Schizosaccharomyces pombe: one gene and its partner. The protein of the gene in region 1 interacts with the protein of each later gene in a biochemical or structural test. Each region holds a gene or a part of one and is shown on either strand. Other genes may lie near its edges.

Evidence for each region.
Region 2: the proteins of mts4 (region 1) and rpt2 form a complex in vitro, tested with the Schizosaccharomyces pombe proteins (one study listed by BioGRID).

What each region holds. Positions count from the first base shown.
Region 1 is NC_003423.3:2,850,606-2,856,146, reverse strand, and holds mts4 (19S proteasome regulatory subunit Rpn1/Mts4), read left to right. Parts: upstream 1-2,044; 5' UTR 2,045-2,094; coding exon 2,095-2,232; exon of another isoform or gene 2,233-2,279; coding exon 2,280-4,817; 3' UTR 4,818-5,026; downstream 5,027-5,541. Other genes in the region: morphogenesis protein Mor2, read left to right, coding at 1-1,497. UniProt on the Schizosaccharomyces pombe protein: Acts as a regulatory subunit of the 26 proteasome which is involved in the ATP-dependent degradation of ubiquitinated proteins.
Region 2 is NC_003423.3:1,197,219-1,201,235, forward strand, and holds rpt2 (19S proteasome base subcomplex ATPase subunit Rpt2), read right to left. Parts: upstream 2,211-4,017; 5' UTR 2,162-2,210; coding exon 2,159-2,161; exon of another isoform or gene 2,158-2,158; intron 2,024-2,157; coding exon 680-2,023; 3' UTR 560-679; downstream 1-559. Other genes in the region: SPOM_SPBC4.06 (acid phosphatase), read left to right, coding at 1-184; aspartate aminotransferase Maa1, read left to right, coding at 3,443-4,017. UniProt on the Schizosaccharomyces pombe protein: The 26S proteasome is involved in the ATP-dependent degradation of ubiquitinated proteins. The regulatory (or ATPase) complex confers ATP dependency and substrate specificity to the 26S complex.

The DNA.
Region 1 (5,541 bases):
TTTCCCCAAAACTGGGTTGGAGATTACCAAGGTCTTCAGATTTTAATATTAAAAGGTTTCCGTTCAACTAATTCTTTTGAAATTACCATGAATTTTTTCCTTTTGCTGATGGATTTCAAGGATAATGATTTGGTTGGCGTTGGTTATTTGAGGATACTATCCTGCTTGTTGGTGTCATTACCAGCGATGGTATATACATACGAGCATTCAGATCCTATTACTTTTGATTTAAGTGTTTTCTGTCATAAATTAGCTACTCTTGCTTCACAATTTAACGATGATGCATTGATTGAGCTTCTTGACACATATCTCAAACGTAAATTCAGGTCAATTAAGGATTTTTTAAAACATACGGTTTCATACCTATACTCCTATTATTTTGAAGATTACGAGCTAGAAATTGTTAGTACTCTTACGATGTTTCTATCAAATAATTTGACTTGGTTTAGAAAGTCTACGTTAGATGTGTTAAAAGAACTCTTTCCATTAATTGATTTCCAAAAACCTATATATTCCGAACATGGATTAGGTATTGTTTCACCGCTTCTTCGACTCTTACCTACTGGTTATGCAATGGAAGCGTTGTCTTTGCTAACCGACTCAGTGCTTCATGTATCTGCTCCCACAGATATGCAAACCTTAAAGTTATTAATGGTTGACCCTAAATTAAAAAATTCAGATGATCGTCTGGCTGGATTTTTTGAAATACCTGACGAGGATGGATGGTATGAACCAAACTCTGAATATGCAGCTGCTATAACTAAAAGCAACGTACATGCCGTATTTTATAGCTGTTCCACTACCGAGGCTTCTGTGAGTACGCCAGAGGTTAGATTTCATGCTGATGAAGTATCCAATTATCCGCGACACGTTCCTACTGACAGTCATGGTTCGCTTGACGAAAATTCACTAGGAGAGCTAGTTACAACTCTTCATAGCCTCGATGTCTTCTTCGCTGAAGATAGGGATGAAGAGTTAATTCAGCCTGATGTCGCCGTTGATCCAAAATTAGATATTACATCGGAAGATTATGACGATCGGATAGCTACGATTCTTTCAGGTAGCCTTAGACGGCAGAAACAAGGTCTTATGGCTTATGAAACAGAATCCTTCAGAGATTATTCACCGAACGAAGAAATTGATGCATCAGCAAAATTGCCGATGGACATGCCGCCGGTGAGAGTAAGAAAGTCGTCTTTTATCTCTAAATTAAAACCTCATTACTTTATGGATGCTGAATCTTATTATCCTTCTTTAAAGGCACTTGGTAATTCGGCGGAACATCGTTTATCTTTGGACGAAATACGAGGTGCAGCAGAATTGAAACAAAATAAAAATTGGAATTCCATGTTAGATCAATCTGTTTCTATGATTAATGAAGATTCAGTGGAAGACCATGAAACTCATGAAAATTATTATCATTTACGTACAATGTTTCAAGGAAGTGAAAGCAATGAATCTTTTACTGATACAACTCGATCCCGCGGTTGGCATTGAATTTGCCTATACTGGTTTAGTATACTTATACAAGCTTTTATGGTGTTCATGTGTGTAAGATGGAAAATTAGTCGGCAACGTTTATGGATGTACTATATAAAACTATTCGTTTGTTTTCATTATTTTATCATTTGCATTTTTTTGTTAATTTAAACTCGAAAATTCTTTGACCATTACAGCCTTTAATTTTAGAATTCAAAATCTTAGAGCGTGTCATGTTATTAAAAATCAAGCTATAACTATGGTAATTAGGTGTAGTGATATAAATCGGTTTCATATGTCCGTATTTAAACAAATGAAAACATAAAGAGTCAATCAATAACGAGTTATTTTACAACAATTCTTATAAGAAAAGAGGCATGAGATAATAATGTCAAGCATCGTGTAATAATGGTAATACATTGACGAACTTAAATAATAGATTATTTTTTCATTTGTACTGATCCATAAAGAAAGCATAGCGTGTTGTTAAATCTAATTAACGTGATAAATAATCAAATACGTAAACAATCGGTATACTGGTTCTGACTAGGGTGAGAGTAGTTTCAACGACAACACATTACTACTCAGTTTCAGAAAATCTTAGGAATCTAGAAAATGAGTTCTAAAGACATTAGTTCGAAGTCCCCGAGTGGTAATGATGCATTAAATGACAAAAAAGGGACAAAGACTTCAGAAACTAATGACAGAAACTCAACGAACAATACCAAAGAAAGGGATGAATTAGAGGATTTAGTAAGTTAAAGCCCTATTATTTTTCAAAATGAAAACTAACCAAATAGTCTGAAGAAGATTTACAATTAAAAAATGATTTGGAATTATTAGTTCAAGCTGTTCAAGATGCCACCCCTGAGTTGGTGGGTTCCAGTCTCACTCAGCTTAAAGAAATAATTCGTACTTCTACCTCCTCTATGACGGCCGTTCCAAAGCCTTTGAAGTTTCTTAGACCACATTATTTTACTCTCGTTAAAATCTATGATTCCTGGCCGCAAAGCCCTCAGAAGACTCAACTTGCTGATATCCTTTCAGTATTAGGAATGTCCTATAGTAATACAAGCAAACATGAATCATTAAAATATCGTCTTCAGGGCGTTACCACTGATCCTTCTTTATGGGGTCATGAGTATGTTCGCCATTTGGCTTCCGAAATAGAAGAAGAGTTTGCCAGTCGCCAGGAAGAGGAAGCGCCAACCGACGATCTTATGGAACTTGCATTGACCATTGTTCCATTCTTCCTTACTCATAATGCTGAGGCTGATGCTATTGATTTATTACAAGAATTGGGTGCTATTGAAAAAGTTGTACCCTTCGTAGAACTTGATAATGCTTCTCGCGTTTGTCTTTATATTACCAGTTGCGTTAATCTTTTGCCATTTCCTGAAGATGTCGCCATGTTAAGAACAGCGCATGCTATTTATCGGAAGTTTGACCAGCTTACACAAGCACTTAACGTTGCTATCCGCCTTGATGATATGTCTTTGATAAAAGAAGACTGTGAAGCTGCTACGGATCCCTTGTTGAAAAAGCAAATGTCTTACATGCTTGCTCGTCAGCAAATACCTATGGATATGGGAGACGAGGAGTTAAACGATGCTTTAAATAACACTCATTTATCTGATCACTTTCATTATCTAGGAAAGGAGTTGAACCTTATGGATCCTAAAGTTCCGGAAGATATCTTTAAAACACATTTAGAAGTGGCTAGGACTGGATTGGGTGCATCAGGAGTGTATTCCGCCAAACAAAATTTAGCTAACACTTTTGTCAATGCCCTTGTCAATGCCGGATACAGTAACGACAGATTAATTTTGGTCGATGACGAAAAAACGTCTTGGATTTATAAAAATAAAGAATCTGGTTTAATAAGTGCTACAGCTTCTATTGGCCTATTACAATTATGGAATGTTGACATGGGATTGTCTTTGTTGGATAAGTATTTATACTCTTCTGAGGAGAATACCAAGGCTGGTGCATTGTTGGGAATTGGTGTTACAAATGTTGCAGTAAGAAATGAAGCTGATCCAGCTATGGCAATTCTTTCTGAATACCTTGAAACTGGCTCCGTAAAGCTTCGTGCATCAGCGATTTTAGGTTTAGGACTTGCATACAGTGGAGCTAATCGCGAAGATTTACTCGACATGTTATCTCCAATTGTTACGGATACCGATTGCCCTATGCAATTATCCTGCTTAGCCGCATTATCTTTAGGTCTTATTTTTGTTGGTACTTGCAACGGCGATGTAGCTAGCACAATTTTACAAACTCTAATGGAGCGTGAAGAGTCTGCCCAAAATGATCAATGGGGCCGTTTTATGGCTCTTGGCCTTGCCCTTCTTTTTAATGGTAAACAAGACCTTGCGGATGCTACAGTCGAAACACTGAAAGCTATTGAGGGTAAAATTGCACGACAAGCTGAAATTTTGGTGGATATTTGCTCGTATGCTGGAACTGGCAACGTTCTTCACATCCAAAAATTGCTTCATATCTGTAGTGAACCTCCCAGTGATGATGCTAAGGAGAGTGAGACTACTATCCAGACATTTGCAGCACTTGGTGTTGCTACTATAGCTATGGGTGAAGATATTGGAGCAGAAATGGTTTTGAGACATTTCGATCACATGATGCATTATGGCGAACCCTCTATTCGAAAAGCTATACCACTTGCATTAGGATTGCTTTCCGCTTCCAATCCTCAAATGCGTATATTTGACACGCTTTCACGCTATAGTCACGATAATGATTTGGATGTTGCTTACAACGCAATCTTTGCAATGGGTCTTGTTGGTGCTGGTACTAGTAATGCGCGTTTGGCTCAATTACTCCGCCAACTAGCCAGTTATTATCACAAAGAATCCAACGCTCTATTCATGGTTCGTATCGCTCAAGGTTTACTTTACTTAGGAAAAGGAACAATGACGCTTAACCCTTATCATACAGAACGGCAGATTCTTGGTCAAACTGCTTTTGCTGGTCTTATGACTGTTGTATTAGCTATGCTAGATGCAAATACCTTTGTCCTTGATACCTCGCATTGGTTGCTTTATGCTATTACGTTAGCAATACGACCCCGAATGCTCATTACCCTTGGTGAGGACGGTCAATATTTACCAGTAAGCGTTCGAGTTGGTCAAGCAGTAGATGTGGTCGGTCAAGCTGGTCGTCCCAAGGTCATTACGGGTTGGGTCACACATACTACACCAGTTTTGTTGCATCACAATGAGCGAGCTGAACTAGCGACGGAAGCATATACACCTTTGACTTCGTTGGAAGGTATTGTTATTTTAAAAAAAAATACGGAGGACATTGAAATGACCGCTTAAATGACTTGAAGTTAAATGACTACAATTTTTATGTACTAATGCTTGATTTCCAGTTCTTTGCTATTAATAAAACAAACTGGATTGTTGAAATTCAGCGCCCGATACATTTATTTTTCTATTTCGATTATGTTAAATTCGTATTTTTTAGATTAGAAATGTTCTAGTATTGTTCTAAATTGAAGTAGCGGAAAGTATATATACATGATTGCAAATTTGTAATTAGGATTATAATTTCTGTTTCTTTTTTTTTGTATTTGTCGCGTTACCAAAAGGTAATAGAACGTCCACTGCAGAAACGTCTTGTTGGATAAAAATTGCCCGAACTAAGGAGCTACCATTTCTTAGTAAAAAAAATTTAGACCTGCGTTGGAGCTTAATGCAATTATCAAAGAATGAATTTTAATCATCTTCTGATAATCCGACAAAGGAGTTGACTGCTTTGCGACGCATCCCTTATGTCACGTTTCTACTACTGTTTCAATACCTAACCATTACATTAAAGGTAAAACTGCACATTAGATACTTCGCATTTAGGGAATAACGGTGAATAGCTTTATTTAATTTCAAATATTATCTTGAATTGTTATTATGTTTCATCATATGCAGTCCCAAAGTCTGCTCATCGTTAATTCATTTCCACAGGTAAGTTGTGCATTCATTTCGTTATGTGAAAAAATGGAATGACGCTCGTATTTGAATTGATAGAAATGTCATATATGACTAT
Region 2 (4,017 bases), 1.7 Mb from region 1:
TAGAGATATGTCTGATTGGTATGTCCGAATTACCTACAATTCAACCCCTGTAGTGATGGGTGCATGTCGAGGTCAAGGATACAAAGGCAATGATACGATCTGTCCTCTTTCTATATTTAAGGATACAGTCCGTGCATTAAAGCCTGTTGAATATCACACTATGTGTAAACCGGTGAAAAAGTAATTATTTGATTGATTAGTTTACGTCTTTTGTGTATTATAAAGGCGTTTTGTTGCACACGTTAGAATTAAATTTCTTAATATAATCAGAAAACTGTGTCACTGAAATTGTGAATGCGATCGATTGAAGAAAATAAAAAAAAAGAGGTATCGGAGAGGTATTTTCTATGGACACGTTTTGTTTGCTTTGCTTATTTTACGCTCTTTTTTTTAAAAAATCCAAAATTTAAACCGACAAGGAATGCACGAAGTTAATAAAATACGTATGATGATATAATAAATTTTATGGACATCTATAGTTACTCTATAAAACTTAATGATAACTTAATAATCATGCATACAATACTTCTCTACAGGATTAAATAATAATAGTGAAGATGGAAATACAGATATTCGTAGAAACTAAACAGGAACTGGAAATTATTTAGTCAATGGCAAGTATGGATAAAAAGAAGTATTGCCATTATGCGAGTAAAACTAGTCATAACCAAAGTTGGACTTAGATATAAAGACCACCAGCAGGTCCACCTTCGTCCTTCGTTTTTAAAACCTTTTCACGAGCTTGCCGAAAGTCGTCCATAACAACTCGCATTCGGCGTTCACGCAGAGCAAGCAAACCAGCTTCAGAAACGATTGCTTTAATTTCTGCACCAGATAAATCATCTTTGCATTGAATTAACTCTTCTAAATTAACATCCTCGCCCAAATTCATCTTGGAAGTGTGAATGGTAAAAATTTTACGTTTCGTAGCTTCATCAGGATTCTCGAAAAGAATTTTGCGGTCAATACGACCTGGACGAATAAGAGCCGGATCAAGATCGCTGATACGGTTAGTAGCCATAATAACCTTAATATCACGCTGACTCGTATCGAATCCATCCAACTGATTGAGTAACTCAAGCATAGTACGTTGAATTTCTCGTTCAGCACCCGACTGGGCATCGTAACGCTTTGTACCTATAGCATCAATTTCATCAATAAAAACAATAGAGGGCGAATGTTCTTCGGCAGCATTAAATAATTGTCTCACAAGACGGGGACCATCACCTAAATATTTTTGAATAAGTTCAGAACCAACGACACGCAAGAACGTAGCAGAAGTTTGATTAGCAACAGCTTTCGCTAGTAAAGTTTTACCAGTACCGGGAGCACCATATAAAATGACACCTTTAGGGGGTTTTATGCCCATTTCCTCATAGAGTTCAGGATGGGTAAGAGGAAGCTCTACAGCCTCTTTGATCTCTTGAATTTGAGATTCAAGACCACCAATATCGGCATAACTTTCTGTAGGTGCTTTGTCGAGTTTCATAACATTAATCATTGGATCGGTATCATCAAGAAGTAAGCCTACTATACTCATGGCTTTGTGATGGAGAAGTACACTGCAACCAGGCTCTAACATGTCTTTATCGACAAATGACATGATGGAAACATAGTACTCTGGTCCAGCTGTGGAAACGATGGCATGATCGTCGTCTATAATTTCCTCTAAAGTTCCTACAGACATTGGAGTACCACGAATTTCATCTACACGATTGCGTTCTTCCTGAGTTCGTTCATCCTGTGGCTTAAGACGTTCCTGGTTTTGCACATACTCTTCTTCCATAAGCAAATGATCGTGGATTCTTTGCATTTTTAACAACCTTAAACGACAACGAGTCGTTGGGATAACAGTAGGTAGTTTTGCCGATGCATCAGGACCACTTTGAGCCTTCTTCTTACGACGACCAGTTCGAGTGGGAACTGGAGGTTCGTATTTGGGCTTATCTTTCTTTTGGTCTTTTTTATTGTCGCCGTTGGCACCATCGCCGAAATTAGAAAAATTCCCAGATTGTGCTTGTCCCTATAGGAGAGTTAGGATTAAATATTAAAACATGAAAAGAATGTGATAGAGTGAAAACAAGACTATTCAGCGATAGATGAAAAAATTACATTTAATTCAGTCTTGTTTTCAGCCTCAAAATACTCAAATACTTACCATTTTTTGGATCGATACTCTCAGTGAAAGTGATCTGGTATTGGTAATATCTAGCTTCACTCGTTTTCCACCACGACACTATGCAAGCAACCGGTGGCTCAAGGCACTCTAACATATTGCGTAACATAGTATTGCGATATTGTAATTTTTGAATAGTGTATGGTAAAAACACATCCTAATTTTCTTGAGTTGTTTACATTTCGAACACGAAAATGTATCTACTGTTACCAACGCGTGAATCAACCATTCCATTTCAAGAGACCTCACTTTAAGTAAATTTTCCTCAATATAAAGTGTTGTAGAAGTAATAATGGTTTAAAAAAGGTTAAACAATTGCCATCGATTTTTATTAAAAGGAGTACGGATCTCTTTTCGTGCATTCGTCGTGTTTCTTGTTAGAACATAGACTTTGCTAAAGTGATTTAACCTTGCATCTATCTTTTACTTAGGAATCATTGCTAAAGAATATTTATCCCAATTCAAACAACACACATTCCTCTCAAAATTACATAGCATAAAATTATATAAGCTATAAAGTATTTTACTAGGTGTCTACGGCCATACCTAGGCGAAAACACCAGTTCCCGTCCGATCACTGCAGTTAAGCGTCTGAGGGCCTCGTTAGTACTATGGTTGGAGACAACATGGGAATCCGGGGTGCTGTAGGCTTCATTTCGTTTTTTTTCTTAATAAAAGTCCTCCATATGAATAGAATTATTGTTCTATAACTTACTTCTGCAACCTTTTACAGCAACAACAGTGAAAGCTATAGAAGCAGCTACTAAAGACAGTCTGATGACTTAAACAGTGTTCGAAGGTCTAAATTGACTTATTCAAGTTATGATTATTGAATGACTTCTTGTTATTGAAAAATATTTTCTACAAGTCTAACAGCTATTTTACAATTTTTATTGTTGTTAATGTTAATTTATTAACTACCTTAATTACTTACGATAAATATTGGTAATTAACGAGTTACTGTTTACTAGTTGCTAAACTACGTTGCGATTACAAAACTATAGCTTTCGCTATGCTACTTTAATGTTTTTTCGGAACAGCTCTACAAGTGAACGATAACGAAAGAAACAATAAACGTCGTTATCTAATTTTGACATCTTACAGCTTCGGATTATGTTATCGATCGGTAAGCAGATACATTGAACCACGTGGTTTTCTCATGATAAGAACGTATATATATTAGCAGGATTCGATTGATTGCGAGCCTGTGAAGAGCCTTTAACCAATCTCCCAGAAATAACTTTGGGAAGAATATTGATTTCGACGATGTTGGCCAGGAATTTGCGTTGTTTGCATCCAAATACATTTGCATCGTTAAAAACCAACGTTTCCTACCATGGAGTAAAATGCTTGGCAAGTCAGAGCAAGCGTGGATTCAAGGTTTGGGCAGATGTACCTATGGGACCACCGGATCCCATCTTTGGTATTACAGAGGCCTATAAAAAGGATGGAGATGTTAAGAAAATGAACTTGGGTGCTGGTACATATCGTGATGATGCCGGAAAGCCTTATGTTCTGCCCAGTGTTCGTCAGGCAGAAACTGAGCTGTTGAGTCAGAAACTCGACAAAGAATATGCACCCATCACAGGAATTCCCAGTTTCCGTGTGCAAGCAACAAAATTGGCTTATGGCGATGTTTACGAGTCTATAAAGGATAGGCTGGTTTCTGCTCAATCCATTAGTGGTACCGGTGCCTTGTGTATAGCAGCTAATTTCCTTGCTTCATTTTATCCATCAAAGACTATTTACGTATCTGACCCTACTTGGGGAAATCACAAGAATGTATTTTCTCGAGCTGGCTTGACCGTTAAGTCCTACAAGTATTATGATCCTGCTACTCG